Linked DNA regions of Oryzias latipes. The protein of the gene in region 2 binds, or shares a complex with, the protein of the main gene of each other region. Links are inferred from orthologs where the notes say so. Each region holds a gene or a part of one and is shown on either strand. Other genes may lie near its edges.

Evidence for each region.
Region 1: snrpd2 (region 2) and scnm1 share a complex: the UniProt entries of both Homo sapiens proteins name them as parts of the minor spliceosome. The link is inferred for Oryzias latipes from reciprocal best matches to the Homo sapiens genes SNRPD2 and SCNM1.
Region 3: snrpd2 (region 2) and usp39 share a complex: the UniProt entries of both Homo sapiens proteins name them as parts of the U4/U6-U5 tri-snRNP complex. The link is inferred for Oryzias latipes from reciprocal best matches to the Homo sapiens genes SNRPD2 and USP39.
Region 4: snrpd2 (region 2) and gpkow share a complex: the UniProt entries of both Homo sapiens proteins name them as parts of the minor spliceosome. The link is inferred for Oryzias latipes from reciprocal best matches to the Homo sapiens genes SNRPD2 and GPKOW.
Region 5: snrpd2 (region 2) and snip1 share a complex: the UniProt entries of both Homo sapiens proteins name them as parts of the minor spliceosome. The link is inferred for Oryzias latipes from reciprocal best matches to the Homo sapiens genes SNRPD2 and SNIP1.
Region 6: snrpd2 (region 2) and eftud2 share a complex: the UniProt entries of both Homo sapiens proteins name them as parts of the minor spliceosome. The link is inferred for Oryzias latipes from reciprocal best matches to the Homo sapiens genes SNRPD2 and EFTUD2.
Region 7: snrpd2 (region 2) and prpf4 share a complex: the UniProt entries of both Homo sapiens proteins name them as parts of the U4/U6-U5 tri-snRNP complex. The link is inferred for Oryzias latipes from reciprocal best matches to the Homo sapiens genes SNRPD2 and PRPF4.

Annotation. Positions count from the first base shown.
Region 1 is NC_019874.2:27,122,031-27,126,459, forward strand, and holds the start of scnm1 (sodium channel modifier 1), read right to left. Parts: upstream 2,832-4,429; 5' UTR 2,740-2,831; coding exon 2,689-2,739; intron 2,470-2,688; coding exon 2,399-2,469; intron 2,326-2,398; coding exon 2,237-2,325; intron 1,818-2,236; coding exon 1,726-1,817; intron 998-1,725; coding exon 897-997; intron 806-896; coding exon 678-805; intron 585-677; coding exon 473-584; intron 1-472. Other genes in the region: lysmd1 (lysM and putative peptidoglycan-binding domain-containing protein 1), read left to right, coding at 3,553-3,735, 3,929-4,224. UniProt on the Homo sapiens protein: As a component of the minor spliceosome, involved in the splicing of U12-type introns in pre-mRNAs. Plays a role in the regulation of primary cilia length and Hedgehog signaling.
Region 2 is NC_019871.2:25,537,580-25,541,915, forward strand, and holds the start of snrpd2 (small nuclear ribonucleoprotein Sm D2), read right to left. Parts: upstream 3,072-4,336; 5' UTR 2,943-3,071; coding exon 2,941-2,942; intron 1,597-2,940; coding exon 1,417-1,596; intron 1-1,416. UniProt on the Homo sapiens protein: Plays a role in pre-mRNA splicing as a core component of the spliceosomal U1, U2, U4 and U5 small nuclear ribonucleoproteins (snRNPs), the building blocks of the spliceosome.
Region 3 is NC_019867.2:12,332,559-12,337,084, forward strand, and holds the start of usp39 (U4/U6.U5 tri-snRNP-associated protein 2), read left to right. Parts: upstream 1-1,667; 5' UTR 1,668-1,782; coding exon 1,783-1,840; intron 1,841-2,151; coding exon 2,152-2,230; intron 2,231-2,306; coding exon 2,307-2,401; intron 2,402-2,488; coding exon 2,489-2,625; intron 2,626-3,156; coding exon 3,157-3,309; intron 3,310-3,394; coding exon 3,395-3,620; intron 3,621-4,215; coding exon 4,216-4,290; intron 4,291-4,465; coding exon 4,466-4,526. Other genes in the region: c9h2orf68 (UPF0561 protein C2orf68 homolog), read right to left, coding at 1-8, 96-241, 321-436, 1,235-1,344.
Region 4 is NC_019865.2:21,314,863-21,317,889, forward strand, and holds the end of gpkow (G-patch domain and KOW motifs-containing protein), read left to right. Parts: coding exon 1-4; intron 5-168; coding exon 169-346; intron 347-429; coding exon 430-550; intron 551-833; coding exon 834-903; intron 904-1,760; coding exon 1,761-1,846; intron 1,847-1,934; coding exon 1,935-2,063; 3' UTR 2,064-2,157; downstream 2,158-3,027. Other genes in the region: pqbp1 (polyglutamine-binding protein 1), read right to left, coding at 2,399-2,549. UniProt on the Homo sapiens protein: RNA-binding protein involved in pre-mRNA splicing. As a component of the minor spliceosome, involved in the splicing of U12-type introns in pre-mRNAs.
Region 5 is NC_019874.2:23,603,754-23,608,164, reverse strand, and holds the start of snip1 (smad nuclear-interacting protein 1), read left to right. Parts: upstream 1-1,451; 5' UTR 1,452-1,579; coding exon of another isoform or gene 1,580-1,650; 5' UTR 1,651-1,755; coding exon 1,756-1,895; intron 1,896-4,411. Other genes in the region: dnali1 (axonemal dynein light intermediate polypeptide 1), read right to left, coding at 1-110, 208-377, 929-1,041, 1,248-1,328. UniProt on the Homo sapiens protein: Required for pre-mRNA splicing as component of the spliceosome. As a component of the minor spliceosome, involved in the splicing of U12-type introns in pre-mRNAs. Down-regulates NF-kappa-B signaling by competing with RELA for CREBBP/EP300 binding.
Region 6 is NC_019866.2:5,489,230-5,493,636, reverse strand, and holds the start of eftud2 (116 kDa U5 small nuclear ribonucleoprotein component), read left to right. Parts: upstream 1-1,583; 5' UTR 1,584-1,737; intron 1,738-2,267; exon of another isoform or gene 2,268-2,288; 5' UTR 2,289-2,298; coding exon 2,299-2,403; intron 2,404-2,480; coding exon 2,481-2,643; intron 2,644-3,812; coding exon 3,813-3,891; intron 3,892-4,038; coding exon 4,039-4,114; intron 4,115-4,217; coding exon 4,218-4,283; intron 4,284-4,380; coding exon 4,381-4,407. UniProt on the Homo sapiens protein: Required for pre-mRNA splicing as component of the spliceosome, including pre-catalytic, catalytic and post-catalytic spliceosomal complexes. Component of the U5 snRNP and the U4/U6-U5 tri-snRNP complex, a building block of the spliceosome.
Region 7 is NC_019870.2:3,841-8,256, forward strand, and holds the start of prpf4 (U4/U6 small nuclear ribonucleoprotein Prp4), read left to right. Parts: upstream 1-1,554; 5' UTR 1,555-1,647; intron 1,648-4,416. UniProt on the Homo sapiens protein: Plays a role in pre-mRNA splicing as component of the U4/U6-U5 tri-snRNP complex that is involved in spliceosome assembly, and as component of the precatalytic spliceosome (spliceosome B complex).

The DNA.
Region 1 (4,429 bases), on a different chromosome or scaffold from region 2:
TCAACTCTGTAGGAGCCAGTTTGACATATTTTGATAAACTTTCACAATTATGAATTTATTATCTCAACCTTCCATACGTTTATTGAAGAACTTTGTTAAGATTTGGTGGATTTATTACTTTATTTGTTGATAGGCGTGCCATTTGTTTATGTCAGGATTGGACGCAGATGTTTTAAAATGTCAAGTCTTGTGTACATCCCATATATTTGTTACCCTATAAATCACAATGTACAGAAATGGTGCAAACACAAATAAATGAGTGAGAGAACAAATCAAGGAAGCAGAATAATTTCAACGGGCCGCATGTGAAGATGCTGGAGAGGAGCTGGGTGTGGAGCCTGAGGCAGAGGACTTCACTCATTTTATCAGTTTACTGCTTGGACTGTTAAGCTAAGAGTTTCTAAAACATAGTTTCTGTGGCCTGCAGATTCAATCTAGCACTGGTGACAAAAAGGAAAAGAGAGTTTTGCACCTTTTCAGTTTGAGGTAGTGCTCCATCTCTCTTCGCCTCTGCGGCGTTATGAGTTCTGCCGTTTGTCTCGACTCAGACTGACACTGAATTCTGTCTTTGGATGAACAAGACTCTACAAAAATAAAAATAAAAGCATCAGTTGAAACAGAACCATCAGTTATTTTAAATAAAATATCAAAATATGATTTCTAGGAGCAGATTTTACCTGTGAAACAATCACTAGAATCACTTGTGGATGCATTGTCAGAAACTTCTGGTTTCCAACATGCAGATGGGAAATTGTGTTGAAATGTGTTTCCAGCAGTGCTCGACTGTCCTTTATTCAACTTTGTACTGAAAATAAATAAATAAACAGATATATGTTCACATCTTTACTTCCATTTTAAACTACAGATGAGTATTTTAACCTTAAATGATGACCAACCTGGTTTTTCTGTGGCAGCTGTTGTATGGAACAGTCTTCAGAAGAGCATGATGGGTAAGTTTCCGGGTCTGTGCCAGTAAAGGTGCCGAACTGGAGGGCTCCTGCAATCACAACAAAAGAGACTTGTCTCTCAGACTGAGCTCTGACAGACTCCAACTCAGCTAAATGCTCCATGTGTCCTCTGGCCGGCTCTGCTCATGTTTTCCACCAGCAGACACCCGCTTCAACTCACGCTGCAGAGTCTACAGGTTGTCTGAGTCACGTGGCAGCCACAAGCACGTACTGGATGTCACACAAGAATACGACTTATTCTTATATCCATATTTAACATGTTACAAGCAGCGACATAATATCTTTACAGGAGTACAGGAGGTGCATCCTTTCTACAACTGTCATTCCAAAACAAGTCAATAAAGTACTATAATTCAGCAACAATAAAAATTTAACCACAATAACACTAAGTATTTAGTCGTCTCTGTAAAAACGGTCGGTCGGTCGGTCGGTCGGTCGGTCATCACACGGTCATCATGTCATTGTTTCGTGTGATGGTCGGTCGGTCGGTCATCATGTCATTGTTTCGTGTGATGGTCGGTCGGTCGGTCATCATGTCATTGTTTCGTGTGATGGTCGGTCGGTCGGTCATCATGTCATTGTTTCGTGTGATGGTCGGTCGGTCGGTCGGTCGGTCGGTCGGTCGGTCGGTACGTCGGTCGGTCGGTACGTCGGTCGGTCGGTCGGTCGGTACGTCGGTCGGTCGGTCGGTCGGTCGGTCGGTCGGTCAAAATACAAAATTACCCGCAGGTAAAATGATCAAGTTGAAGCTCCAAACCTCTTTGTCTTCTGCTCTGACATAATCTTCATGTTTTCTTTTTGCAATTTCATTCTTGAACTTTGACTTTTTCCCATAAAAGGATTTTAAACCTAAAACACAAAACAAAAAAACACAACGGATATAAAAGCATGCACCAAAAGCACATGCATAATAAAACTTTATTTAAAAAATAAGAAAACATATATGACATATTTACATGTCACACCCATTCTGGAGTGACATTTACATCCATTTTCTACCAATACTCTGTTATGTAGCATTAATGTCGGAAAACAACGAACGTCAGGCGAATGATGCTCACACCTCCTGTCATTAGTGCCTTAATATGACACACCTGTTACATCAACAACACAGAAGATCTGTTTGGGGCCAAATGTGCAAACACTATCTGAGAGAAATGAGCCTACAGTGTTTTGTCTACATCTAAATATGACCACCAAGACACTTTTATACTGGGGAATTTAAAAATTTTCCACACTAAGAGTCACTTTTTAAGGAGGATATTTACCTTCTAAATGCTTCTTCCCTTGCCTGTGGACTGTCAACATGTCAACTGTGTCAAACACTGGGCGATACGAACACACAAGGCACGTGTACCTGTGTGGAGCGAACGCAGAAAGGTGAGTTACTTTCACAACAAAACTGACACTTAGGGTTTAGTTATATTCACCTGCCATTACTCAGAAGAGCAGCTTCATCTTCCGGAATAAAATTGGACAAAAGGTCAGATACACGCCGTTTCTGTAAACCAACAGCCCAAATCATCAGTAAGTATTTCATAGCAGATGAAAAATTTACATTAAATACTTTACCAAACAGTTTTCATTTACTCTGTGTACATTATATCCATATGAAACTTGCTACTAGCTAAGCTAGCAAAACAAATAAAAAACGACAGCGTATGAACTTTAAGAAAGCCTATTCTTTTATGAATACAATGTATTATATCATTTTAAATACCTTTAAAATATTAAGTTGGCTCCCATCATTTCCTTCCCTTTTGAATGACATAATTATATCGAAGTAAATCAATGGTATAAACACCAGATTAACGGCTAGCTCAATGAGTTAACTCATTGGGCTAGCTTCTCTATACGTCACACTATCCCGGAAGTGTTGGTAGTGCTGCATTCAGGGACAAACATGTACACTTTTTTTGTCCACGATTTCCAGCTAACCACGTTGCAGTTTCCCATCGTACCATTTCATTTATTTATGGTCAAGTTAACTAGTCTAACAAACCATTGTTAAAATATTATTTTACATTTAAATTGATTTGTTTGCATGTACTCTTAAGAAAGCATCGATGTGAAATGTTTATAACATCACATATTTTTTGTAAATAAATCGCGAAGGGGAAAAAAACTGCCTATTTTAATCAATGAAATTTTAATTCATACTAAACAAACTCTGATTAAAATAAAAAAAATAAAAATGTTATGTTTTCATTTAAATTTCAGTATTCAAATTACTTTGAACACAACCCACCCAATGAGAGCCGTCATTCACAGCGGCAGCCATGGCAACAGACTGCAGCTGACTGAAAAAAACAACATATTTAAAGTTTTTAGATATGTTTTTAGATTGTTTACTGACAGTTAAGCTATGTTTAAGGTGTTTTAAGTAGTTTTTCTTCAATTCCCGACTGTTGATAAGGTTCAGGCAGTGCCATTTCGGCACTTTGGCAAGAAGAAGATGAATTAGTCGATACTTTAGCAGCTAGCAGGTGAACTGGGCTTGCTAGTTTAGGACGACGTCAAACCAGTTCCAACATTAAAATTGCGTACGTGTTACTGATGATTTTCACATAAATAATTATCGGATATGTCCGGACAACGAGCGGCTTTGCCATCCGGGAGAGGCGGTCTTCTTCGCGGAAGCCGAGCTATGTCGTACGGCAGCTTGATGCGATCGTCGCCGGCGTCTCCGGTCCGCCAGAGACACGTTGAACACACGGTTCAGTCCGGAGACACGCTCCAAGGTCTGGCCCTGAAGTATGGAGTCTCTGTAAGTATAATAAACCAGATTTGTACTCCCTACTTTAGACAATTAAAACAATTTGAAATATTAACAAGGAACATCTTTTGTTTCCACACTAAAAGTAAAATCTATTCATTGGTTTTATGTTATGACATAATTTTTTTTGATTCTGACATTTGTTAGTTTAAAAAAAAAACAACAACATTCTTCTGTCTTCCAGATGGAACAAATCAAGAGAGCAAATAGGCTTTACACCAACGACTCTATTTTCCTGAAGAAGTCTCTGTCGATCCCTGTTCTGTCAGACCTGAAAGGGATTCATTTGTCTGAGGACTGTGAAGAACAAAGTTCTCACGATGTCGTGGTTCAGAACGGGACAAACTTCTCTGAGAGGACAGACGATGATGGGAAAAGACCTTCAGACCTGAAACCTCTGGATTTTCTGAGAAGACTGGATGAAGGAATCAACCAGACCAAGCAGACGGCAGTGAGAAGATGTCAGGATGCAGAGGAGAGGTACTGACAGCTTCAGCGGTTCACATGCAACCTCCTTTTGTCAAGATGTTTCTTTTAAAAACACAGTTCTTGACATGTTTCCACTCTCATAGATAAACGGGTTGGTAATATTCTGGAAAGATTTCTCTTCTGGGATTTGGTGTTTTATTAAAAAAACTGGTTTCTTTTTGGTATGACCTGTTCTAAAAATAGAAATCTTTAACTT
Region 2 (4,336 bases):
AGGGGGAGAGAGAGGATAAACAGACAAAAAAAAGGAGAAACCGAAACAGTACAAAAGTGATCCGAACCGAAATTGCCGTACCGAAACGGTTCGGTCCAACTACAAGGAAAAAACTGATCTGTGTCCGAAAACTGGAACTCTGTGTGTGTGTGTGTGTGTGTGTGTGTGTGTAGAGGATGGGGGAGTCAACCAATCAGAGTGCAGGACTCAGAGGACTTGGTAAAGTTAGAAAGATCTTCACAGATTCGGACTTCCTGCTGAGAAATTCCATGTTTAATATATTTTATATAGTTTTTCACATTTTAAGAGACATGATTCATAATAAAGGTGCTCAATAGTTCTAAAGATACTAAAGCTAATGTCAGCAAACTTTCTGTACTGACTAATCATGACCCTATTGTCCCCCCCGTTCCGTTTTCGTACACAGATCAATTTTGACACAAGTTTCTCACAAGGAATGTGTCAGAAGTCAGAGCGCAGTTGTTGTGCACTTGTGATGTGCGCCAGCAGATTCACATTTGAGCAGTTGTAATCCCAGATTGGAGGTTGTAACTCTAAATGGGAATTTGTCAGTTCTGATTTAGTTTGTCAGACTTTACAGCAGAAGATTTTTACACACAGATGCAGATTTTTGGTGTGCAAGTTCTCACATTGTAAATTACAAGTTCTCACACCAAATCTACAAGCTCGTCTATTTAGACACATTTTTACCTTCATACTAATAACTCACTGGCATTTGAAATCTTGGGGTGCTCAGGTGGATTTGCTCACATACGTAATCTATTCTTTTAAAAACCAAAAAGATCAGAAAATTACAATGCAAGAACTATTGAAATAAAACATCTTGCAATCTCCCTTCTTCATTGCTTAAGCTTTGTAAGAAAATTTGATTTTATTACACAAGTGACTACATATAGAAATCTTGCTGTTGACATCTAACCCTTAAAACAGGTTTAGTATTTAAGAAGTGGCTTTTTATTCAACTCATACTTGATAAAAAAACAAAACAATGCTTCAGAGAATGAAATCATTCAAACCCCACACCCACATCAGGCACAGTACCCAATGTGGAGGAGATGCTATGGACGCCTTTTTAATCTCTTACATTTGTGAGCTTATATTTAGTGTTTTACTTGTATTTGAATTCTTCTGAATGTATTTTATTCTTGATTCTATTAAAGGAATATGTCAAAGAGAGGAGGGAATAATTGAAACATTTTAGAATAAAACCACTGTAAGGCGCCATGTTATTTCAAATCCTGGAAAGAAGAAGAAAAAAAGACTGCAAAAATATGCTTTAGTGAAGCAACACTTTCTAAATCAAGATGCAAGCTCTTCGTGTTTGTTTCCTCTTCATATAAAAGTCCTAAATACACACTTAAACCTCTCTCCGCTACACCAGCAGCCCCCCAATACCTGTCGAATGCTTTGACTCTTCCAAGCAGCTTCTTGTTGTTGCGACAGTTAATGAGGACTTGGGTGTTGTTCTTGACTGACTGGGTGAGCACCGACAGAGGGCCAGTGTTGAACTCCTCCTCTTCTCTTTTCTGGAGCTCTTCAGGCGTCATCTCTGACTTAGGTTTCGTTAGAAGACTCCTGTGGATTAAACAAGTTCTGAATTAGTGATAACAGCAAACAAAATAAGCAACGATGTACTGTTTAAGCATCGACTGCTTGGGCGGCCTATTATTTGGATTTGGGCCTTTTTATTATTATTCTTTTAAATTAAAAAATAAATATAAAGACACAAACGCAACACTTTCGTATTTAATGCACACACAAGCATTAGTTACTGTTAATGCGAATCCAAGAGTTGGCTTCATCTGTGTGCCTCAACAAAATGATCATTTTCTTATAAAGTCAAGTTAGCACAAAAATGTACAATATAGGCAAGACATCTGAAAAGTGGAACCAGCTAAAAAAAGTCTCAGTTCCTGCAAAAGAGCATTTATGAGAGCTGAAGCTGTTGACTGAAAGTGCTCAGTTAATAGAGACATTTGAGAGGCAGAAGGTGCTTAAGCAGGAAAATGGACCACAACCAAATATCTAAATAAAACTAAACATGCAAAACTAGTATTAACCAGAAAACCATTGTACAGGAGACATTACATCAGACGGAATCAAAACTATTGAGGAATTATCTCACACACACAATAAATGCTTTGGTCATTGATAAATTGAATCAGTACATTTTAGTCTCGATATTTCTTTATATTTGTACAATGATCACTACAAATAGGCAGAAGTAAAACCTACTTTAAAAAAAATGGCTGCTCTGGATGATAGAGAAACAATTTACCTAAATAAAGGTCAACAAATACTAGACTTTATAAAAGGATCAAGTTTTAAAACATTAAAGCCTCCCGCCACCCTTAAATGAGCACAGAACATTTATTGTTTCCAGATACATTTGAAGTTTTCAACAATCTCTGAACAGTGTGTGCTTTGAGATCAGCAAAGAGTTTAGGCTCTTTACGCACAAAATATTTAGAACAAAACTTTGGCTTTCACACAAAATGAGTCTATAACCGACGACTTTGATCATATCATCTTGCAGAAGCTTAAACATTTCTACTTTCTAAAGAATGAATGCTGCAATCGCACAACGAGGACATTTACTCATGATGGATAGAGCAAGCTAACAGTCTCATTAGCAATTAGCTAATGAGGCTTAGTACGTCCATCAAGCTTTCGCGCGATGTACAATCACAGAATTTAGCTTTGGACGTAACTTTTTAAACAATTTAATTTGAGAATGCAGTAATTGCAATGTAATCCAATTTAACACATTTCTAAAAACCACCCACTAGGCCACACAAAGCGATCTAGCACCAACTCGAAGGAAAATGCTGCTAGCTTAATAGTGCGATCTCCATATTAGCAGCTAAACGTAAAAAGTAACATTGCCCTCAACATCGAGACACAATAGAAGATACTAACATGATTCCTGGTTTATAAAAACCGTTTAGTAAAGTTCCAAAGCCTCTTTCGTGCGTCGGTCGTGTCTACAACGTTTTAGCCGACAGTCGCGTGCACAGAATCACTTCCGGTGATATTAACGCGCTTAAATAGAATAACTTCCGGGTTACGACGCAAACCAAAAATTCGAAAAATATTCTATTCTTTTTGGCAACAATAGAAAAAAAATCAAACAACGGTCATCAGCTAAAATATTCTATTCTAATCTTGCATCCATCTCTAGTAATTTCGTTACTGAAGCCGAAGTTAAAACTGTTATGAATGCCCCAGCATTCATGCAGCAATTTAACAAACGACATTATAGAACATGTTTAAATAAATACACGAAAAAGATTAATTAAATACAATTTGATACATTTAAATTCAGCATTGCTTTTATCCAGTTATTTTGCATTTGCAGGATATCAAAGTCCAGGTTGACAGTATCAAGAAATAATATAAAATAAAAGAGACGTTGCTTAGTCTGTGACCTTTGCCTGGTAAACAACAACAACATTATTAACAACAACAACAATTAAAATATTGGAAATAACAACAACAACAATAATAGTAATAATATTAATAACAACAAAAACAATAATAATAATAATAACCTTTCCTTTTTTTCATATGTGCCACGTTCCAAATCACAGATTGCCTTATCTATTATTGTAGGTGCTAAACAAATGATGCAGCATTGTTCATTTGTATTTTTAGCAGTATTTTTAAACTCATTTATTTGAAAAATATAATTCAATATCAAGAAACTATAAACATGGCCTTTTGTAACTGCATTTTGCAAATCAAACAATACAAAAAAACTTTAATAGTAAAAGTTTTAGGCTCCAGGTTTATTGCTGTCATGTCTTGCATACATGGGCAGCCGTGGTAGGGTGGTCACCCTCTGATCGTTAGATTGCAGGTTCGATACCCGCCCTACCGTTGAAGTGTCCTTGGGAAAGACGCTGAACTGAACACCACCTTGCTTCTGGTGGAAGGTTGGTGCCAGTGTTCAGCAACCAGGAAACCAGTATGTGAATCTGTGTATGAATAGGTGACTGATTTTGGCCTTCAAGGAAGGTAGAAAGCGCAGTACAATTATACGCCATTTACCATTTATAATACAATTATAAAAAGTTATAAGATGCATTATAGTGTCATTTAGAAACTCTCACAACTGAGTTCTATGAGATCTACAGCAGGTGTATTTATCTAATGTTAGTCTAATATAAGTTTTGTTTTGAAGAGATGTCTTAAAGAGTCTGAGCCGTTGACAAAAATGTTGTAGCACTTCTTTCAGATGGTAAAATCCACAATTCCTTTTTGGCCAACATCCAAAGGAGATCTTGTGACTTATGAAATAAGGAAACCAATTCCA
Region 3 (4,526 bases), on a different chromosome or scaffold from region 2:
TTATCCTCCTTAAAAGATAGACAGGAAGGCAAGATAATTGTTTAATAAAATAGTGTCAAACAAGACAGTTATCAGGTGAAAAAATGAGCTCTAACCTTGTGCACAAGGAAAGATGTAATGACACCGGAGTCCGCCTGATAATCAAGCCAGAAGAGTTCGGTTCCATGAGTTTCAGTGTCTGTGCCCGACCCACTCTCATTCCACTCGTCAGCATCAGCGGCGGTTCCTGGCTCTGAACTATCTGGAAAGAACCAAAACAGAAACGCAAAAGTGTTACATTTCCTCTAAAAGCAGCAAAGTAAGAAATATGTCAGTCTTACGTCTCCGTCGAGGATGGTACACCTGGATGTCAGGTCGCCGAGGCTTTTTGGGGGTTGTGGTGCGCCTGTGCCGCTGAAGCTCTTTGGCTTGCTTCACTTCTTTATCATAGTCATCTCTTATAAAGAAATTGAAATATTTTCTGATTATTTCTTAAAAACATAGCAAGTTGCACAGTTGAATAAAACACAGAGCATCTTGGTCATGGCCATGAACTTAAAAATGTTCCTAGGTCTGTTTACACATTGGAGGATAATACTTTTTTTAAAATTTTATTATTTTAAGGCAAAACAGCTTTGTTTTTCATACATCAAAGCAATTTAAAGAGCCGCACAACAAAGCAACATTATTATTGCTGTTCTTTTAGCTTTATAGTTCATCTTTCAAAGTTGCCTAAATAAAATCAACATGTTAAAAATCCGTTTTAAATGATTAAATAAAGAGTGAGAGTGTGGGAATTAAAACAAACTTTTTTGTTTGGACGTAAATCAAAATACTTATCATACATTATTGTAGCAGCTTTTTTTAAGACCAGACAGAGAGCAGATGCTGTAAAACAGCCCAACTCAGCGTATGTAATTTATCAAGGAGGAACTTTAAAAGTTTTACACACCAAACCTAAGTTTATATAATAATCCACTTTTAAATAATAAATTACACTAATAAAACATAAACCGAATAACTTAATGCTCCTTTTAAAATTTCAGTCAGTCCAATAGGGTTTTGCTTCTACTGCTTTAAAGTAAAAATAAACTTGACTTTAAGCCTTTTAGGTACTTTAAAAAAATGTTATTTCACTGTCTGCCATTTTTAAAAAAATCATTTCACATCAATCATGAAATGACAGCAGCTACAGATTGACATTTGACATCCCAAGTAAGTATGCTAACTCGGCTAACAGCAAAAAGGAAATCACCTGGCAATCTGGTTCCTCCGAATATGATGAAGGAAACCGTGGCTCATGTCCAGACGGCCCCCCGGTTTGTACTTCAGCTCATGCACTCCTTCATCTCTTATAAGATCCATTTCAGCAAACACTCTAGAAAGAAAACACAGCTAAAGAAGAACAAGCAAAATACTAACAAAAAGCTAGACAGCTAACGATGTATAAATGGATGTCCAACCGTAGCGTTCCCGGAGTTTCTACAAATTAATTTATTGCGTGTAAGTCCTACAATGCACATTGAACTAAAATATAAACTATTTTGGTTATATTTCTGTGACAAAAAAAGAAACTGAAGTATACAAATAAATAAAATATATTACTTAGAGTTTACATGGGGGTAAACATTTATTTTTTAAACTCCGGGTTACGTTTTGGTTTCCCACGCCATTACCACCGACGTACAACCACCGCGAGTTTCGAGGAGCTGAATAATATCCATTCATTTCCTCTCGTAAACCTTCAAGTTTTGTTAATTTTTGTTTCGTTAGCAAACCGTTTGCTAACTTATAGTTACAAGAATGTCTTTAAAGCGTGAAAGGGAGGAAATAGAAGACGACGAGGATAACGAAGACGAAGGTATGCTGATTTGTCTCTTACGTCCGTTTTTCGTTTTGTTAGCCAGCCAGAAGAGCATTTTCTAGCATAAAAAGTTTATATTGTGTCAGTTCCATTCTACACCAATAAACTGATGGTTTCACATGTAAGACAAAGACAATCAGCATATAAAAATATATGTAAAACCTGTTTATTTTAAAACAGAGATCGATTAATAGAAAAATCTTAGCTTGCTAGCAAGCATGTTTTGATTGCTAGTAGTTAGTTGTTCTCGTAAAAATGAATTCCGTTTACGTCTACTGAGCTTTATCGTGATTTGCTCTCTTTTGCAGTGACAGTCAAATTTAGGCGAGGACGTGTGGTTGAAGACCGAAGAAGCCGCCATTGTCCTTACCTGGACACCATAAACAGGCAAGGAAATGTTTGAAAATGTATGCTAAAGCTAGTTAGCATTCTTCTTGTAATTCAGTTTCTTCTCGTCTTGCAGGAGTGTTCTGGATTTTGACTTTGAGAAGCTCTGCTCCATTTCTCTGTCTCACATTAATGTTTATGCCTGTCTTATTTGTGGGAAATACTTTCAAGGTAGACATATTAGCACATCAAACGCACATTGTTATTTTCCTTTTTAGATGACACTAAACATCTTTACGTTTGCATTCCTTGTTGCAGGCAGAGGTCAGAAGTCTCATGCCTACACTCACAGTGTCCAGTTTTCTCACCATGTGTTCCTCAACTTGCACACACTCAAGTTTTACTGTCTGCCAGACAACTATGAGATCATTGACTCATCGCTAGAAGACATCACAGTAAGTAATGCAGTAAATCTGCTGTTTTTCAATGTATAAATGAAAAGGTAATTGCTCTGGGGGGAAAAGTAAACAGTTACATGTTAAAATTAAACAAAGTTTTTTGTTTTTCTTCTAGATATGATTGATAGATTCTTTTGCTCACATTCCTTGTTTGTCAGTGTAACACTTCAATAGTTTTCATTAACATATTCTGTGTTTAAAAATAGTTTTAACTTGTGAACCCAGAGTACATAAAAATGTGTTCGATATTTATATATTTTATACAAGGCCAATGTATTTGATTGCATAGTATATTTTATTTACTATATTTTGCACATAAGTATCAGTACTAGTATCTAAAAATAAGTTATTTAGCAATGTCTTAAAGTATACTTTTTAGAGTTTTGGCTGTAATTTTAATACGTCTTTTTTTTTTACATTTCTTTTTTAAATTTTTAATGTTTTATGTTAAGTAATTTTTACCCCTCCTTTTTTTATTTTTTGTAAGCTCTTGCTTTGTGTTGGTAATCTTGCTCTTTTTTTCTTTAGTATGTGCTGAAGCCGACTTTCACCAAGCAGCACATTGAGGGTCTGGACAAACATGGTAAACTGTACAGAGCCTACGATGGTACAACCTACCTGCCAGGGATTGTAGGGCTTAATAACATTAAAGCCAACGACTATGCCAATGCTGTACTACAGGTATGAAACCCCGCTGATGTTGATTTTTGAGGCTGTGGCATCAACTTAAATAACAGGGGGTTTCATATTGTACTTTTGTTTTTAGGCTTTTTCCAACGTCCCACCTTTGCGAAACTACTTCCTTGAGGAGGAGAACTACAGAGACATCCGGAGGCCACCAGGGGACATCATGTTTCTGCTGGTGCAGCGGTTTGGGGAGCTGATGCGCAAACTTTGGAATCCGAGAAACTTCAAGGCCCACGTGTCGCCCCACGAGATGCTGCAGGCTGTAGTCCTGTGCAGCAAGAAAAACTTCCAAATCACCAAACAAGGTAACTATTTTGTGGCCTGTGGAGTGCTGACATAAATAGGGCCATGTAGGCTGAGATTTTGGGCAAAAACCTCATTCCATCAATGAGAGCACTAAAGATGAAACATGGCTGGATCTTCCAACATGACTGATCCCAAAAACATAACTCTGGCATCAAAGAGAATCTGTGGAGGGAGTTTAAAGTATGTTTCTCAGCAAAAGCCTCAAAACATTACAGCTCTGCATGGAAGAATGGTCCAGAATAATAGCTATAGTGTTTGTAAACCTGCTTAAGACCTATGTTTGACCTTTGTCATAGATAATCATGGTTACATTACAAACTATTGAGGTGAACTTTTGTTGTTGACCAAATTCTTATTTTCTGCACTATTATACAAATACATTCTCTAAAAATCTGACAATGTGATTTCCTGGATAATTTATTGGACATTTTATCTCTCAGTTGAAGTATATCTATGGTAAACATTACAGACCAAACTCAGCTTTTTGAGCGGGACAACTTGCAGAGTCAGTGGCTGCCAAATACTTTTTTGCCCCACAATCTTTAACTCACTGGATAAGTTTGTAGAGTTTGCTCAATGTTTTCTGGTTTGCAGGTGATGCTGTGGACTTCATGACATGGTTCCTAAACGCCATGCATGGCGCTCTTGGAGGCACAAAGAAGAAGCCATGTGAGTCAGAAATTCACTCCTAGTTTATAGTAAATCTGTTGAATTTCTGAATTCATTTATTTGATGTGTAATTTTCTCTTTTATTCCAATGTAAGGAGTCTATTTTAGAGCCAGTGCTGGTTGTCTGCATGCAATGTCCTTCAATTTAACTGGTCTGCTCTTTGTTTTCACACAGCAATTCTTACAAAAGTCTTTCAAGGCTCCATGAGGATTTTCTCCAAGAAACTACCACATCC
Region 4 (3,027 bases), on a different chromosome or scaffold from region 2:
ATCAGTGAGTGTCCTTTCTCAGCTGCATGGATTTTTCTCCTAATCGCCTAAATAAATGGTCAAACGCAGAACTATTGTTCCAAGACTTTTCCTTTATTCATGTGGGCAGAATAAAGCACAAAAGGATCAGACAATGTGTTCTTTCTTTTATTTGCTTCCTTGCAACAGGTCGCCTCAGTAAAGCACACAAGGAGAAGGAAAAGGAGAAAGAAAGAGAAAAGGAGAAGGAACGGCAGAGGCAGGAAGAGAAGGAGAGGAGGAGCAACAAGGAGAAAAGCAGAGCTTCAGAAAAAGACGAACCAAAGGAAGAAAGGAAGAGGAAACACAAGGAGTCCAACCAGGACAGGTACAGGTCCATGAACTAGAACCACAAAGTTCTACTGCTTTAGGACATAAACCAGAGGATGAGTCTCCCTGTTTCCAATGTAGAGATAAGCCTCCTGTGAAAGAAGCCAGACAAGCAGCGGCGCCCCCCTCCTGGCTCCAGAGGGACCTCAAAGTTCGCTTTATAGACAAAGCTTTTAAAGGGGGAAGGTTTTACAACTCCAAGGTACTAAAATCACAGTGTCTGTCTGTCAAGTCAGCTGGTACTATCAAATTAAAAGCCTCTATGTGTATCAATGTTAGCAGAAAATCATCTGTTACTGTTGTACCTTCAGAATAGGAAAAAAGTTTCCGAAAACCTGCTAGATAAATCTGTTTTACTTTCAAAAATCCTCCCTTTAAAGATCAGAGCCAGTGATGGCTGTTTGTGTTGTCATCTCAACTTTTGCACATTTGTCTGTAAACAAAGAAAAAAAAGTCTGACTCCTGTCAATCTCACTTTCCTGTAGATGCAAGTAGAGGATGTCCTGACGCCATTCACCTGCGTGTGTCGAACGGAGGAGGGCAGACTGTTAGATGGTGAGTCTTCTAGGCTCTGTCCATGTCGGCCTACATCTTTTTACTGAACAGGTTTGCTCGCAGAAGAAGCTCCGATAACACATGAACTCACTTTCCTGAAAAGCTTTTCTGAGAAAAAAGGTCAGATTCAGGAGAAGATAGGAGGAGTTTCAGGTTTTCCCTGGAATATTCTCCAAACATGCTCACATTGTAGGTGTAAGTTTTATGAAAAGAAGCTTTCTCTTCAGTGAAAATGTATTTACTGTTTGACCTCTGACCTGCGCTCTCCTAGATGATCAAGGATAAATGCTGAGCTGACAAACTTTATGGACCTCTTTAGCGTCAAAACACGGATTTAAGTTGATTTTGTTTAGAAATTCTTTTACTTTTCTTTTACACTTTTAAATGTTACAGTACTTCTAAATGTTTAGGTGATGAAAATGTAGATTATGTGGTTCCAACTTGCAACAGGTTTAAAATCCCACTCCGATCATCTTTTGATCTATTTTCAAAGCGTTCCCAGTGGTTTTATAATTAGGATTATGTCGTTGTTAGCCCAAACGTAAAAATCAGTGTCGTTTTCTTGGACATAGTTTGTGTAGAGCGACAGTAGTCCATTAGATATTCACCCGAGTTGTGGACGGGACCATTGGGATGGAGCTACCCCACCCCCCTCCTGCTGCTGAGAGCTCTTTGTTTACAGTGTTTTTTCTACGGATTAAATTTGATCTTTTTCCTGATTCACAATTTGAATCAAGAAATACAAAGGGTCTGATGATGCTTGGTGACTAGGTGATCATTTTTGTCTTGGTTGCTGCCATGGCAACCATGGCTGCAAATCTCTCTGGTCATGAACGCGTTTGTCCTCCATGTGGCAGATGTGAAGCAGGACATGCTGGAAACCATCATCCCCAAAAGCGATGGCGACTCTGTGATGGTTGTCCTGGGTGAGCACAGGGGGCAGGTGAGCACAGGTTTTGGGTTTTCCCTGCAGCACACAGTCCCGCTTGCCTGCGATGGACTGTCACTAATCGCTGTACGCCTTCATTCAGGTCGGCCGGATTCTTCAGAGAGACAAAAACAAGTGCAAGGCCACAGTGCAGCTCAACCGATACGAGGAAAAGCTGTTCACGCTGGATTATGACTTCATTTGTCACTATGTGGGAGCAGAAGACCAGTAAGAGTTTCTTCTCTCCTCGTTTCATCCTGTATCATTGTGAAACTTGTGTTCTGACATGCATTTAAAGCTTTTTTAAATAAAAAAAACCTCAGATGTGTATTTGTACAGGTGCAATAAAAATCAATAAACAGAGAAAAACCCAGATTCTTTTGTCAAATTTATTATGTTCATTAATTCTAGAGGAAACAAACTCATCTGCAGGTGTAAAAACATATTTACAAGTTTTGACGTGAGGATGCTTGGGACACTCAGAACACGTCTAAAGCGAGACCCGTCACCACAAAAACGGAAACCAAAGCACGTCTGCACGAGCTGCTGTCCTGACGGGGATCCTGCTCACTCCTTGGGTTGCTGGTTGGCCGCGTTGGCCCGGAGCACGGCTCCAGGGCTAGGATACGGCCGCTGCTGGAACAAGGGTCCGGCTGCGGTGGTGTCGGCACCCGTCTTTGCTTCATTTCGCTTGGGGAGACCACTGGACCACGACCCCCTAAGGACAATGAATGAATTCAGTTTTTTAAAAAAATCATCAAAATGACAGAAATGGATTCTACTTTCTCCATAAACTATTGTACCTTTAAGGAAAAATCTAAACACTTTAAACCTCTCCAAAAAATATATTTTGCCATCAGGGAAAATATAAAAGCATTATCCTACAATAATTGGCTTTTCAAAATAAATCTTTTTTAAAAAAGAAGTGTGTGAAGTTGGAATAAAAATGTTGCCTCAAAGCGGTAGTGATCCCTCTGCTGCAATTAGCTTCACGATATCGACTGACATATCTGCACTGTCAGCAAGTTTCTAACCTGCATCTCATTAAATCAGAGCTAAACAAAGTTCTGATGGAGGAACAGCCTTGAGGTGTGGGATTTCTATTTTTGGATCGCACTAACAGTCCTTTAGAAAAATGACTGAACATTTTTGTGGAAGGATTACGTAAAATCCTGCATTAAGGGAATTACGGTAAA
Region 5 (4,411 bases), on a different chromosome or scaffold from region 2:
CTCAGACAAGTTTTGGTAGGCTCTTATCATCATCTGCATCTCATTTCTGACCCGGCACAACAGCAGACCTCTCTCCGCACATTCAATGGTTACCTGTCTGATGAGTTCATCTCAAAAAGGAAATAAGATGCATAATACATTTATATTTCATAACTATCCACATTTTTACTCGGAGATGAGCTTTGTCCCGACCCTCCGCTGTCTTACCGAAACACTGGGAAAACAGAACCCAGCGGATGGGGCAGATGCCAGTTGGTTTGGCCTTTTTCTGCTTTAGCTTTATGTTCAGCTGCTCCTGCAGATGAATGACATCTTTCCTCGTGGTAATGGCTGTAGATACTTTCTGCACCCACTGTTGGTCCCCCTCTGTCCATTCTCTGTAATGGTAAGAAATCAGAATTTACTTGGAAAATCATTTGACAGTAACTTTTGGATGCTTTCGGGATCTTAGATTGTGTGTCAGCTTTTTATTTTTGAATTAAGTAAAAAGCAGACGTATGTGTGATAATGCACCTGTGGGCAATATTTGCTGTCAAGACTTGATCTTTTTAAGTTGATGAAAGTTGGACATTCACTGAGCTACAGGACCTTTCCTCTTTTCCTTGTTAGACATTAGGATTTGTTGGTGATCTTTGGATCACATAAAAACTACATTTGTTCCAACTGTAGCTGTTCCACTGTGTTGTTTAAAGTTTTTTGAGTTACATGGCATGAAAAGCATCTGTTTTACAAAAAAAAAGCCTGATTTTATTTGATTTCCCAGATTTGACTTTTGAGAAATAAAAGTTGAGGATGGTCATTGTGCTCTGGTGCATGCCACAGTCTATGTTTGTCTGCATAACTTAGGAAGAAGAATAAATAATAATGAATCTAGAATAAATAAATCTGAATCGTTGTGCTTAGGTGAGCTTTTGAGGTTTTCTTTTACCTAGGTGGTAAGATGGCATGCAAAATGTTTTCATCCAAATTCTGTGTAGGGGGAGATGGAACACCTGCTGCAAAGCTGGGAGCTGGAAGGTTGCTCAACGTTAGAGTACGTCCCTATTAACGAAAAAAAAGGGGGGAAAATTGTACATTTATTTGTATTATTATTTTTTTGTAATTTCTTTTATTATTTTTGAAGATTTTATTTGGTAGCCTTTCATTGTCCACAATAAAGAAATTATGGAAGTACAATGAGATTTCTAGCCTTAATTGATATAGTTTCTGGGCGCCAGTTAAATAGATCATTAACCATCAAGACTTACCTTTTGAGATTTTTTATCTCCTTTTGTTTTTACCAATATCGGATTATCGTATTTCAAGAGGGACTCGCCAAAAGAAGTCATCGTTTTGAGGTGAGAGAGCAAGTTACACGTTTTGTTAGAAATACCGTTTCACTGTTTGTGTTGTCATGGCGACACTTTTTCAAAATAAAATAATATTGATTTGAACAAAGTTTCATTTAAGAATACTTTTTATGTAATACGACACGTATATGTGTCATCAATGCTTCAGTCTATGACAAAAAAAACTTGAACATCACGTTTTCCCCATTTAAAACGAATTAGGCCATGGCGGAACCAACAATAGGGAGCACATGGAGCACGTCGAGGGGATTAATTTGAGTCACCGGAAACGGAAGTTTGTTTTCACAACGCCAGAAGTTTGGTAACGCATCAAAGGTTTTATTTTTTATCTTGGCTTGTCTTTGTCTAGCTACTGTGTCGTGTTTTGGTTGAATTGAGCTCAAATTTATTGGAAAAATAAACTAAAATGACTAAAGAAAAGCGAGACAGAAGAAGGGAGTCTCCAGAACGGCAGCCCGAAGTGAAGATAAAGCAGGAGAAACTGAGCCCGAGTAGCACTAGCAGGCCACACAGATCACGCAGTCCACAGGGGAGACGAGCTAGCAGGTAAATGTCTGAAGGTTTTACTACGATTCATGACGTAAAACTGTCTAAATATAAAACAATTCACAACATTATTTTTTTGTTGTACTTTCGCTGATGAAAATCTAGCTTCCGGTTTTCATTTTTGACGGTTACGGAATAAACACTTAACGTAAGGGATACCCGGTTGCTCCAAAAGAGTTTTGATCTGAGGTTTCTGTAAATCAAATAATCCTTAACACGTTTGTGTCAAAAGTAGTATAAGTATCTGACTCGTATCAAGTAAATCTTGTTTATTGTTCTAAGATATTTTATTACCGTCTTGCTGATAAATCAAGGTTAGACTAGAGACATAAAATTTGCTTTAATTTTTTTTTTTATTGAAATATACTCATTACAAAACTCTGGCAGACACAACAACACAATGATGCAAGGCACAGCTCTTCACGAAAAACAAAGATAAAAAAAAAACAAGAATGTATACATATATAAAAAAAACTATCAGCATAAATTAAAATACAAGGCAATCAACAATCTGGACCCTAGATTTGTAACCATTCTGTAGCAGATTTACAAATGTCATCAATGAAAGAATTTGAGTTGTGAATACATTTCAATGAGGATAAATACAATCTGACTTCATTTTTAAAACACAGGAAATTCGGCCGATCTTTTTTCCACTTTTGCTTATGAATATATTTTCCCAAAATCAGGAGGATGTTCACTATTTGTTGGCTCTTTTGGCAACTTACTGTTTTAAAACAAAATATGTTTTTCTGTGAATTGTATGTTGTTAATTTTTTGACTAAGCCAATTATGAAAATCTTGCCAGAATCTTTCACTGGTCTGGACATGAAAAAAACAGGTGTTGGGTTGTTTCTGGGGTTACCTGACAGAAATCACACGGATCAACCTCAAAGCCAAATCTACTTCTCAATGTCTCTGCCGATGGGTAATAATTGTTTATAATTTTGAACTGCATTTCTTTAATTTTGGGAACCACTGGCCATTTTATGAATTTCCATAGTTGAGCATCTGATGTGACAGGTGTCTCAGTTATTTTATATTTCACTTTTCTGTTAAAGTCATGGTATAATTTACCTCTAAAGGATTTGTTTAGCAATTTATTATCACGTTTTTTTTCACTAAATTTTATTTCTCCTATTACTAAATTTGGTAGTTTAATTTGAACATAGGAAGACAATATTGTATTTTTTATTAAATGTATTGAAGCAATTGGAATTGCTCAGCAGGTTTTCTGAAATTCCTCGGTTGAGCATTCAATATCATATTTACCTTTGAAGTCTCTTAACTGAAGAATTTCTCCATTTGAATCAAGAATATCACTTACAAAATGATCTTAAGATAAATATACTTTATTGATCCCAGCTTGGGAAATTGGGTTGATGCAGCGTCGGCGTTAGGCTCAAGGTACAAACATACAAACAATAGATGACAACAGAGAACCAGAACAATTTTATTTATTTTTTTATTTGAAATGGTTTATTTCAAGCAATTAAGTAGAAATAATACACAACAGCAATATAATCATCAGTTATACATTCATACAGTAACTAATCAAACTTAGGATAATTATACATATTAATAAATATTGCTTGAAAGGGAGTGGAAGGAAGCGAATTTATATAATCCCACCCCGTTATACTGTAACCATTTTATTACATGATTTATCAATATCCGGTTCCCAGTTTATATCATACAGAATTAAAAATCATAAGATATCGATAAAGCACATGACAAAGATGAATTACTTAAGTATTACGTCAAAAATAACTATTTTAGAAATCAACATGGCAAATGCAGATCAGTCATCTGAAATATATGCAGATTATGTTACTTATAAAAGCCATTCATATGAATAAAACATAATACTATATCAGTAAAGTAGACACAACACTGTTTCAGGAATTTTCATAGCAAAATTTCATCAAGTATCAAAAGTTAAAAACATGTGCAAAATTATGCTACATTAGGAAAGATTTTTGAATCAATTTATCAATTTTTGGAGAAAGTGAAATAAAATCATTAAAAGGCAATCAATTTAACAATTTTCAATAAGTCATTAATCATTTGTTTTACTTTTTTAAATATTTTTTTTGTATTTTTATTATTATTTTTTTTATAATAAAGTAATGCTGTAGGGGGAAAGTAAAAAGGGTCCATAACTGTCGATTGTCCAAGGTTGGTCTTTCTTCTTTAACTGATAACAGCCGTACTTCTGGGTTCAAAACAGAGTTTATAGTTCTCTTCGATGTTATGACTGCAGACATTAGATTCAGGTCCATATCCTTCTTCAGCTGATATCAGCGACGGTGAAAGTTGAGGTCAAGTTGTCTGCAGGTCAGAACTCTCTGCTGTTATTCAGGTGACGTCAGACATACAGAGAAAGTGGGGAATCCACGTGTCATATTTCTTGAAATTATTTGGCTCTTTGGTTTATTACTCCATGTTGTTTCAGACGACCGTGATCAAACACTTCTCAAAGTCCTTCATGGTGTTCACAACCAGAACCTTGGATC
Region 6 (4,407 bases), on a different chromosome or scaffold from region 2:
TGTAAATAATCTGTGCAAAAAAACCAATACAAACGTTCAAACCAGATTGGTCATGACCCAGGTTAACAAAAAAAAAAAAAAAACTGCCACCGGTGCAACAAAGCAGCAGAGCAATGGAAACTGGATGACTGTTAGTTAAAGAAGAGACGAAAGGGGTGGTTGATAGAAAATGACAGGCAGGAGTGAAGGATCAAGGACTTAGTAGGGAAGTTGAACATTGGGAATTTTATATGGAAAAGTAGGGAGTTGATTGACATGAAAGAAGCAAGGTGGACATCCTGTATGTTGAAGACAAAGATAGAAAGAGACCACAGCTTAAAGACTGGAAGCAGGTTTGAGCTTTTTTTCTTCCTTCGTGGATGGAAAGAGGAATGGAGGAAGAATGATTATAAAGAAGGACTTTGCGAAATATTTTCTGGAAGTGACCAAAGTGTCAGATAAGAGACAATCGTAGTAGCAATTGAATGTTGTTTGGCTTAAGGTTGTGTCCCACTGCCGCTAAGTACAATTTGCACATTGTCCAAAGGTGAAAATCATGATAGAGCTGTGAAATTTTCTCACAAAGAATCACATCTTCTCTTACTTTTTCCATGTTTATTCACATAAGACCAGTTTTTATATGTCATGTGTGAATATACGTGGAAAAAGTAAGACAAGTTGTGGTCTTTGCCACTAAAAGTTGTAGTCTCTGCAGAAGACTTTCACAGATGTATCACGAAGGAACCACGTTAAAACCATGGAAGAAGTATGAATAAACCACGCAAAGAACATGCAAATCCGCAGTTCATTGAATCTCCCCGCATAGGGAGATCTGCAAGAAGGGACAATCGCTTCTCCAGAGACGCATCCGGCCCCCTCACACGATCTGCCTTCCGCGAGACCTGAGCATGAGACCTAGACTCAGTAGACTGCTGGAGGGGTGATTTACCCGTCACACATGCAGCCAATGGTATATGAATAATGTGTAATTTTTGACCTGTTTGCAATATTTTGTATCATTTTTGTTATTAATTCTTTTTCTGCTTTGAACATTGGACATATTTGAGCTGCAGTGTATTCTGCCAAATCACAAAGTTTGAGTTCTTTTGACTATAGCCTAAAGGCCTAATACATTGTATTTGTGATCAAGCTAGCTTTGTAAATAATTTGAATTCCTGTTTTTCATACTTCAATCCAGTAATAAAAATATGCTAAAATAAGTTACAAATATGTCACATGAGTTACATATCTAACACGTGCTTTCCAGCTTAGTTTGCCATCAATAATAACTCCAAGGAATTTATATTTTAAATTATTTCAAATCTGGCAAAGATTAAAGGGCTAATAAAAGGCTCAGCACTCAAGAATTCATTACCAAGGAGTGTTAAAAAATATTCAACCAAACACAAGTTCCTTGTTGCACACAGTGGCTGCAAGTGCAACATCTACATTTTCAAAGCATGTTTGCGTTTTACATTCTCAGATTTCTGCATTATCAGCGGCATATTATAACACTAGTAAAGTTACAAAAGGAGTAGGTTTGATTGATTGGATCTGTTGGTTTGGCGCTTGAAAACATCCATACGCTAGGGGGCGTACGCGATCCTCAAGTGTTGTGACGTGTTAGTAGAAGAAGAAAAGCGGCAGTAGTTTGTCATGCGCATGGCGCTAACCGAACAATAATTTATCCTAATTTCAGAACAGGGTTTTATTTTGTGCTGTATAAATATTTTGCAGTAGTTTTATCCTTAAATAAAGGTAAGTGCAGTCAGCTTTATGTGTGGTCTCAGCAAATTATGTCTTTGTCTACGGTGTGACGTATCTCAGACGTTGATCCATTCATTTGTACGCTAGCTAGCTAGTTTGGTTACTTGTTTTTTGTTGCGTGGATCGAGAAAGCTCAATAAACTTTCGCAAAGACGATAAAATCCGAAACTTTTCATCAATTGATTGACTTTTTTCATAATCTAAATGCAGGAGTCGCTTAAATGTTCAAATTGCGGTCTTATTAGCATTAGCTGTTGTGGCCACAACCGGTTCATAATGTTTTTATTTTTTTATTTTTAAGTGAAAATAAAAAATAAACGTATTTTGCAAATATTTGAAATACAGTTGGAGATGTTAAACCTTTAAAAAGATACGTTCTATTTTTTTAATTACCCATTGAGAGTTTTCAAGCTTTAAAACGCTACGATCACTGCTACGTACTAACTAGTCTGACAAATTAGGGTTTCCTATTGCTTTCAAAACTTTTAACCCATTTTGTTGTTGTTACATACATGTTTTAGTGTTTCTTTGTAATTGTTTAGATATTTGAAGATGGAGGCTGATCTGTATGACGAGTTTGGGAACTACATCGGTCCAGAGCTGGATTCTGATGATGATGAAGATGACGTGGAGGCAGAGGACAGAGATCTAGATGAGGTTTCTTTGGCTTTCCCTCTTAGTTTTGTGAAATGTATAGGTTTCCTGAGCATTCATTTGTGCATCTGCTTCTACAGCGTGATGATGATGATGAAGATGAGCCTGCAGATGCTGAGGATGATACCCCAGGCATGGAGGTGGTCCTCCATGAGGATAAGAAGTATTATCCGACTGCAGAAGAGGTTTATGGGCCAGAGGTGGAAACTATTGTCCAAGAGGAAGACACACAACCCTTAACAGGTAAAGTGAACCTTTGACTTTCAGCTCAGGGATAGTAATAAAAAACTTTGGGCTCTATTCACAAATTGTGTCAAATCATCAACTCCTAATATTTCTTTATAGCTGACATTTTTCCTAGGGATGTTCAGATAAGGTTATTTGTTTGACCCTGTTCTGATTCTGAGTCTTTTTATTTTGAGAATCTGCTGATCAAATAGTTTTGTATAACATAAAAAATAAAATAATAATAATAAACAAATCCCGGTTGCCCCCAATTTTTTTGTAGTAACACTTGAATAGAGCAGTTTTGTGAAGTAGCTTGAACAATCAAGCAAAAAAATGCAAATATCAACTAGAAAAAAATAACTAAATAATAAGTTAAAAAATAGTTAACTGTTTATTATTAAAAATAGGTAATAATTGGTTAAATGATTAAGTTTGGGGACCGTAGATTCAGCATCTGCTTCCGAGCAGATGAACATTTTTGATCTGATGCGATTCATATCCATTAAAATATCCTAAAAATGAGGAACGGCTTTCTTCCAAAATCATTATTTCAGCATTAAAATAATGATGTGTATTCATGATCCATACCCACGTAACAGTCATTTCGTTTTGGTTGTTTTTGACAGATTATGGAGTTTTTGTTGTTTTGTTGATCACCTTCTCCTGCAGCTTGCACTTTGGAGACGCTCCCTTAGCAGTCGTCTCTCCGTTGAATTCTCATTAAAGGGCACATTTAAAAAATCCCCAATATTTTTAAACGCCCTTGCAGGTAGTTGTTTGTCATGGTTCTGTGAACCAATAGAGACATTAGCTCTCAGTTTTAAACGTTTATTAAAAGTCATTGAGCTCAAACTCCAAATCTGTGAATATTTTGCTAACTTAACGAACTGTCTTTGTGCACCTCCTACTCAAACCTTTGTTGTATTTTGCTGTGTTTCACGGCAACAAAACGTTGTGATCCTTTCGTGATATGCAGACTTCTAGAAGAGCATTTAGTTGAAATAATAAGCTTAAAATATATAGTGCTAATCAAAATAATGGTTAAATATCCGATCCCTGATTGGTATGCAACATCTGATTCTGATCAAGTCTGAAACTACTTCTTCATAGCTGGAAAACAGGAGCTCTGCATTTTATTGCAACTCTTTAACACAAGAACATTTTTGTCTTTTTGTTCTTTCTAGAGCCCATCATCAAGCCGGTGAAGCACAGGCGTTTTGCTCTGATGGAACAGGAGCTGCCTGCAACAGTTTACGACATGGAGTGAGTTTCTTCTGAAGAATCTCAATGGATTCCTAATGTTCCTGCTAAGTTAAAGACGTTGCATATTTTTTCTCTCTTTTTTGTCTTCATGATAGTTTATATTTGTTGTACTTAAAGATATTTTCTCTTTCCTCCCCATTTTTGCAGATTTCTTGCAGATCTAATGGATGGTCCCGAGCTGATCCGAAATGTCACACTCTGTGGTCACCTTCATCATGGCAAGGTTAGACCGCGCTGCCTCACAGAGGCTTCTGACTTTAAACTCTGTGAGTTTACATTTTGTGTTTGCCTCAGAGAAATCTAACAAACCCATTTCTTCCTTTTAGACTTGTTTTGTAGATTGTCTGATTGAGCAGACACACCCAGAAATCCGGAAGAGGGATGATGTAGATGTACGTTTTTCCTTTATTTTACAAAAAAATGTGAAAATGATTCTACTGAATTGCGACTTGAATGGTTTGAGGTTAACGTGATTTTCTATGTTTTAAGCTCCGGTACACAGACATCCTCTTTACA
Region 7 (4,416 bases), on a different chromosome or scaffold from region 2:
GCTTATTGTGCATCTTGGCTGCACCTATTTGGTGTCACAAAGATAAATTTCCCTCCGTTTTCTTTACTTATTTGTACTGTCATGACAGTGATGGTGCTGTCAGTTTACCTTCTTGTTGCATCTTCAAAAGTGCAGAATAAAATGTGACACTGAATTTGAAACAGCACATTGTAATTTCTGCATCTATTATTAAAGTATTTATTAGTAATACAGTGGAAATTAGTAGATTGGGTTAGAATGTTGATTTACGGTATGCGCCCCTAAATTTTCTGGTTGTGCCCCTAAAATTTTCAGTTGGGGGCCACAGTGCTCCCAGTGAAAAAAGTTAGTCTGGAGCCCTGTATATATATGCGTCACAAGGAAAATAGAAATAAGATCAGAAACTCGTGCGTTTACTTTGTCTGTTCTTTTCTCCAAGCAGAAACTCTCTTTTGCTGATGATGCAGCCGTGTTACTTTATTGATGGACGTATAATCTTCATACGCCGTCATTTAAATGTCCGAATCCGTCTTACTGAAGTACAGCTCTCTCTCTTTTTTTCTCCACACGTTTCCATGGTGACTCCAGAAATCGGCGATCCATTGAGAATGTTTTTATGTACCTGCTGTGCACGTGCATTAACCCAGGGTTACCAAGTGGAGCGTAATTATGCTAACTCATATCCGGTCTGTTGGAACCGACATACCCAGAGTAAGCAAGTTCAGGTGGATTTCAGCCAGAGTTCAGGGTTAAAGTCAGGGGAGTTTAAACATGACTTCTGGAATACCCCCCTGGTCTCTGTGGGGGTTTACTCAGGAACCTCTGGTTGGATCAGATCTTCAGACTCCCACAAAGAGGGGGTCAGAAGTCTACAGTGTTTGACCTCAAAGTCACAAGCTACTCCAAAATATCATTTTAAAGAACAAGCTCTGTTTCTTTTACATAAATTATGGGACACTAGAACTTAAGCTCATCTCTGGTTCTGTGGGTTTGGGCTATTCTGGAATTGAAGACGCCCTGTGACTACACCCAGCAATAAGAACCATACCATTTCTCCACTGAACCTCAGGTCTGAATCCAGCAGCCAAAACAGCGCCCCCTAGGGAGCAAAGTGGACGTACTTTGCTGATTATCTGACACACCTAACCACGAAACGTGAAAGGTTCTAGTTTGATGCTCCACTGGTTCCAGTTCAGTCAAAGGGTCTTAAAAGAATGAGGATGCTCTGGGTCACACGGATCAGTTTGTGTAAGGTTTTGGTTGACAACCACCTGTTTCTGTCATGACAGCCAGCTGTACAGAATCTCTGATTCGGAGGAAAGCCACGAGCTCTGCTCCGTCTGCAAGGAACCCAAGACCTGGAGATGAGCTCCGGACGTTTGACCTCCTTTCTGGACATCCATTCAGCAAATAAACAAACACCACGTGATCTGCAGTTTTACTTCTGGTTAGCAACAAATTAGGTTCGTCACGCGCTTTTACCAGTGAGCTTACCTTGAACGAGTGGGTAAAACGCGCGCTCGCGGAGCTCCACGACCTGTTGTTGAGACACAAGACGCGCGTATCCAGGTTTTTCCGGTGAACCGGAAGTAGTAGGTTGACCCGGAAGCGGTTACAGCACATATATCCGGATCATTTAGCGCGTGGAGGCAGCTTTGTCGGATTAAGGTGAGTTTACGAAAAAAGTAACGAAGCTGTAGCAGCAAAAACAGTTAAGGACTAGCACGCGCTCACAGCATCTAATTTATTCCTCCGCCGCACGCGCTTTCAATCAGCCACAGATTCCCCCGCGTGGATCGGAACCGGTTCCACTGCAGAAATTGGTTGGAGGTTCTAACTGTTGTGCAGCTTCGCCTGCAAAAAGGGTGATGGAGGGAAGAAATGTTCAGTGTTTAGTAGATGACGTCATTAGTACAGACTGAATGTCCGTTTGCCTCAAGAAACGCAAAACAAAGAAAAGACGTAAGAATAGGCTGGCATTTACGATAGGACAGGTATAAAACATCAAATTACCAAGGATAGAAGATTAAAACTACTGTCGACTAAAATGCTTCATCGTTTAAAAAGGCGACCGTACCAAAATCTCCAAATAGGGGAGGAGCATCTGAAAGAAACAGAGAAGTTCAGCCGGCTAACAAGGAATATTGTGTTTTTGTTTTTCATTTAACTTTATTTGTTTTTAATTAACTTTATTCATTTCGTAGACAAATGCAAACAAAGGGAGTCAAACGTACACATGTTAACATAAAATGATGGATTCCTAGAGAAGAAAATAATAGAATAACTGAATATGATAGAGCTTATTGATGCTAACAGATGTGAAGAATTTATGTCATGTTTACATTTTATTTCTAAGTATCACTTCGGGTTTGCTGTTGGGGACTTAGCTGAATATAGAATTTAGCAAAAAATTAATATTTTTATTAAAATATGAATCCTTTTTGTCCTGATTAAAATGATAGAAATCGAAAATAACATTCTCATAAGGGTGAAAATCAGTGCAGATCAAGTCAGTGATCGTCTTTTAGAGAAGGAGGCCAGGCGTCAATCGAGAGGGTCGGAGGGTCCTGTCCCGGGTAATTATGAAAAGCAGACCCGTTATGTACATTTTCAAGGCATCGTTTCAGATGATTTGAAACCACCAGGGGGGTATTCCAGAAAGCAGGTTATGCTAGCTCCCACGGTAAGTTTGAGGCTAAGGAAGTGGATAACCTCAGCTTTCTGTTCCAGAAATGGAGGTATGTTTCAGGGTAGGTCAAGTTGCCATAGCAACTCATGCTCTGAACATAACCTGGTCAGGAGCAGGTTTAGTTGAAGGTTAGTTTGTTTTTCAGAGATGTGAAGCAGCATGGCGTGTCCATTTGAAGATGATTTAGTGGATGAAGAAGCTCAGATAATACTTTTTCCACCATGAGAGGATGATAAGACCACATATGGATGTTGGAAAGAGAAACTTTATACTTTCATCTAACTTAATTATTTGCTTAAGTTAAGATGAATCTTTTTTGGAGTTCAGTCAGCTTAAAAATAACACGTAGTTATCAGACATTTATTTTACTTTCATTCAAATTGATTCAATGAAGTAGGTGTAACTTTGGTGCTGCTGTTAGATCTGCACCGCAAGGAATTGTGGGATACCATTCCCTTTGCCTGTCTGGACGGATTTGGGTTTAAGTGTGGGTTTTTGACCAAATGTGTTTAGTTTAGCTGTTTTACTGTGTTTTGTCTAGTTATTTTGTCCTGTTATGTTTAATTCTTTCTGCACCATGAGTGAGAGGGAGGAAGAGGCGGATGAGTTTATTTAGCACCACTAGTGCGCGTTTCCATGGTGACTCCAGAAATCGGCGGTCCATTGAGAATGTCTTTATGTACATGCCGTGCACGTGCATTTACCCAGGGTTACCAAGTGGAACGTAATTACGCTAACTCGTATCCGGACTTTTGGAACCGACATACCCAGAGTAAGCAAGTTCAGGTGGATTTCAGCCAGAGTTCAGGGTTAAAGTCAGGGGAGTTTAAACATGACTTCTGGAATACCCCCCAGGTGCAGAGATTGGGTTCACTTCTACTCTGTTGACGGCTACATTTTCTTCTGACCTGCGGGTTTACGACACAATTTCCAAACTCATCTCCAGAGTAAATATAAACATGTGAGCGGTGGAGGCGATGCGGCTCAATGGCTGCGGGCCGTTATCGTGTTGTGGGGATGGCTTTATAATAATAATTGTTATGAACATTCATCGTCTCCGCCTTGTTCTCACTGTCCACTTCTGTCTTGATTCACACTTGAGTTGCTCCTTTTTGGTCTCCTGAACAAAATCCGTAATAAACTGCATCTGGTCCAGAATTCCACTGCCCATATTGTCTCCAGAACTCCAACCTTTGATCACCCCCCCCCCCCCCCCTTCCTCCAGCAATTGCACTGGCGTCCAATTCAATTCAGACTCCTCCTCTTCCTCACCTTCAAATCCCTCCATAACCTGGCCCCTGTTTACCTCTGAGCTCCTCCAAGTTGACGCCTCCTCTCGTTTTCTCCGGTCCTCTTTTTTTCTCCAGCTTTCTCACATTGTTTTTTTATCCTATTTTTCTAAATGTATTTTTATTCTTGTTTTTACTGCTATGTACAGTGACCTTGTGTGTCAAGAAAGGCGTGTGTCATCAAATTATTATATGCAATTCTTAAGATGGAAAAATTGATATTAAAATATAAAAGGAAAAATTCTACTAAATTTGGTCAAAATTCATCAAATCCATTCAGAGCAGGCTTCTAATGAATTCCACTGTCTATTTGATGTCTGCATTTAATGTCTCCACCTTATACTTAAATTTAAGTGAAATGAAATTAAACCATTGGGTGTTTTTGCTGATATTTGTTCTCAGTCTGTTATGATATTTCAACTTATGGACAACAGAAGAAAACGTGTCAAGGATCCTCTG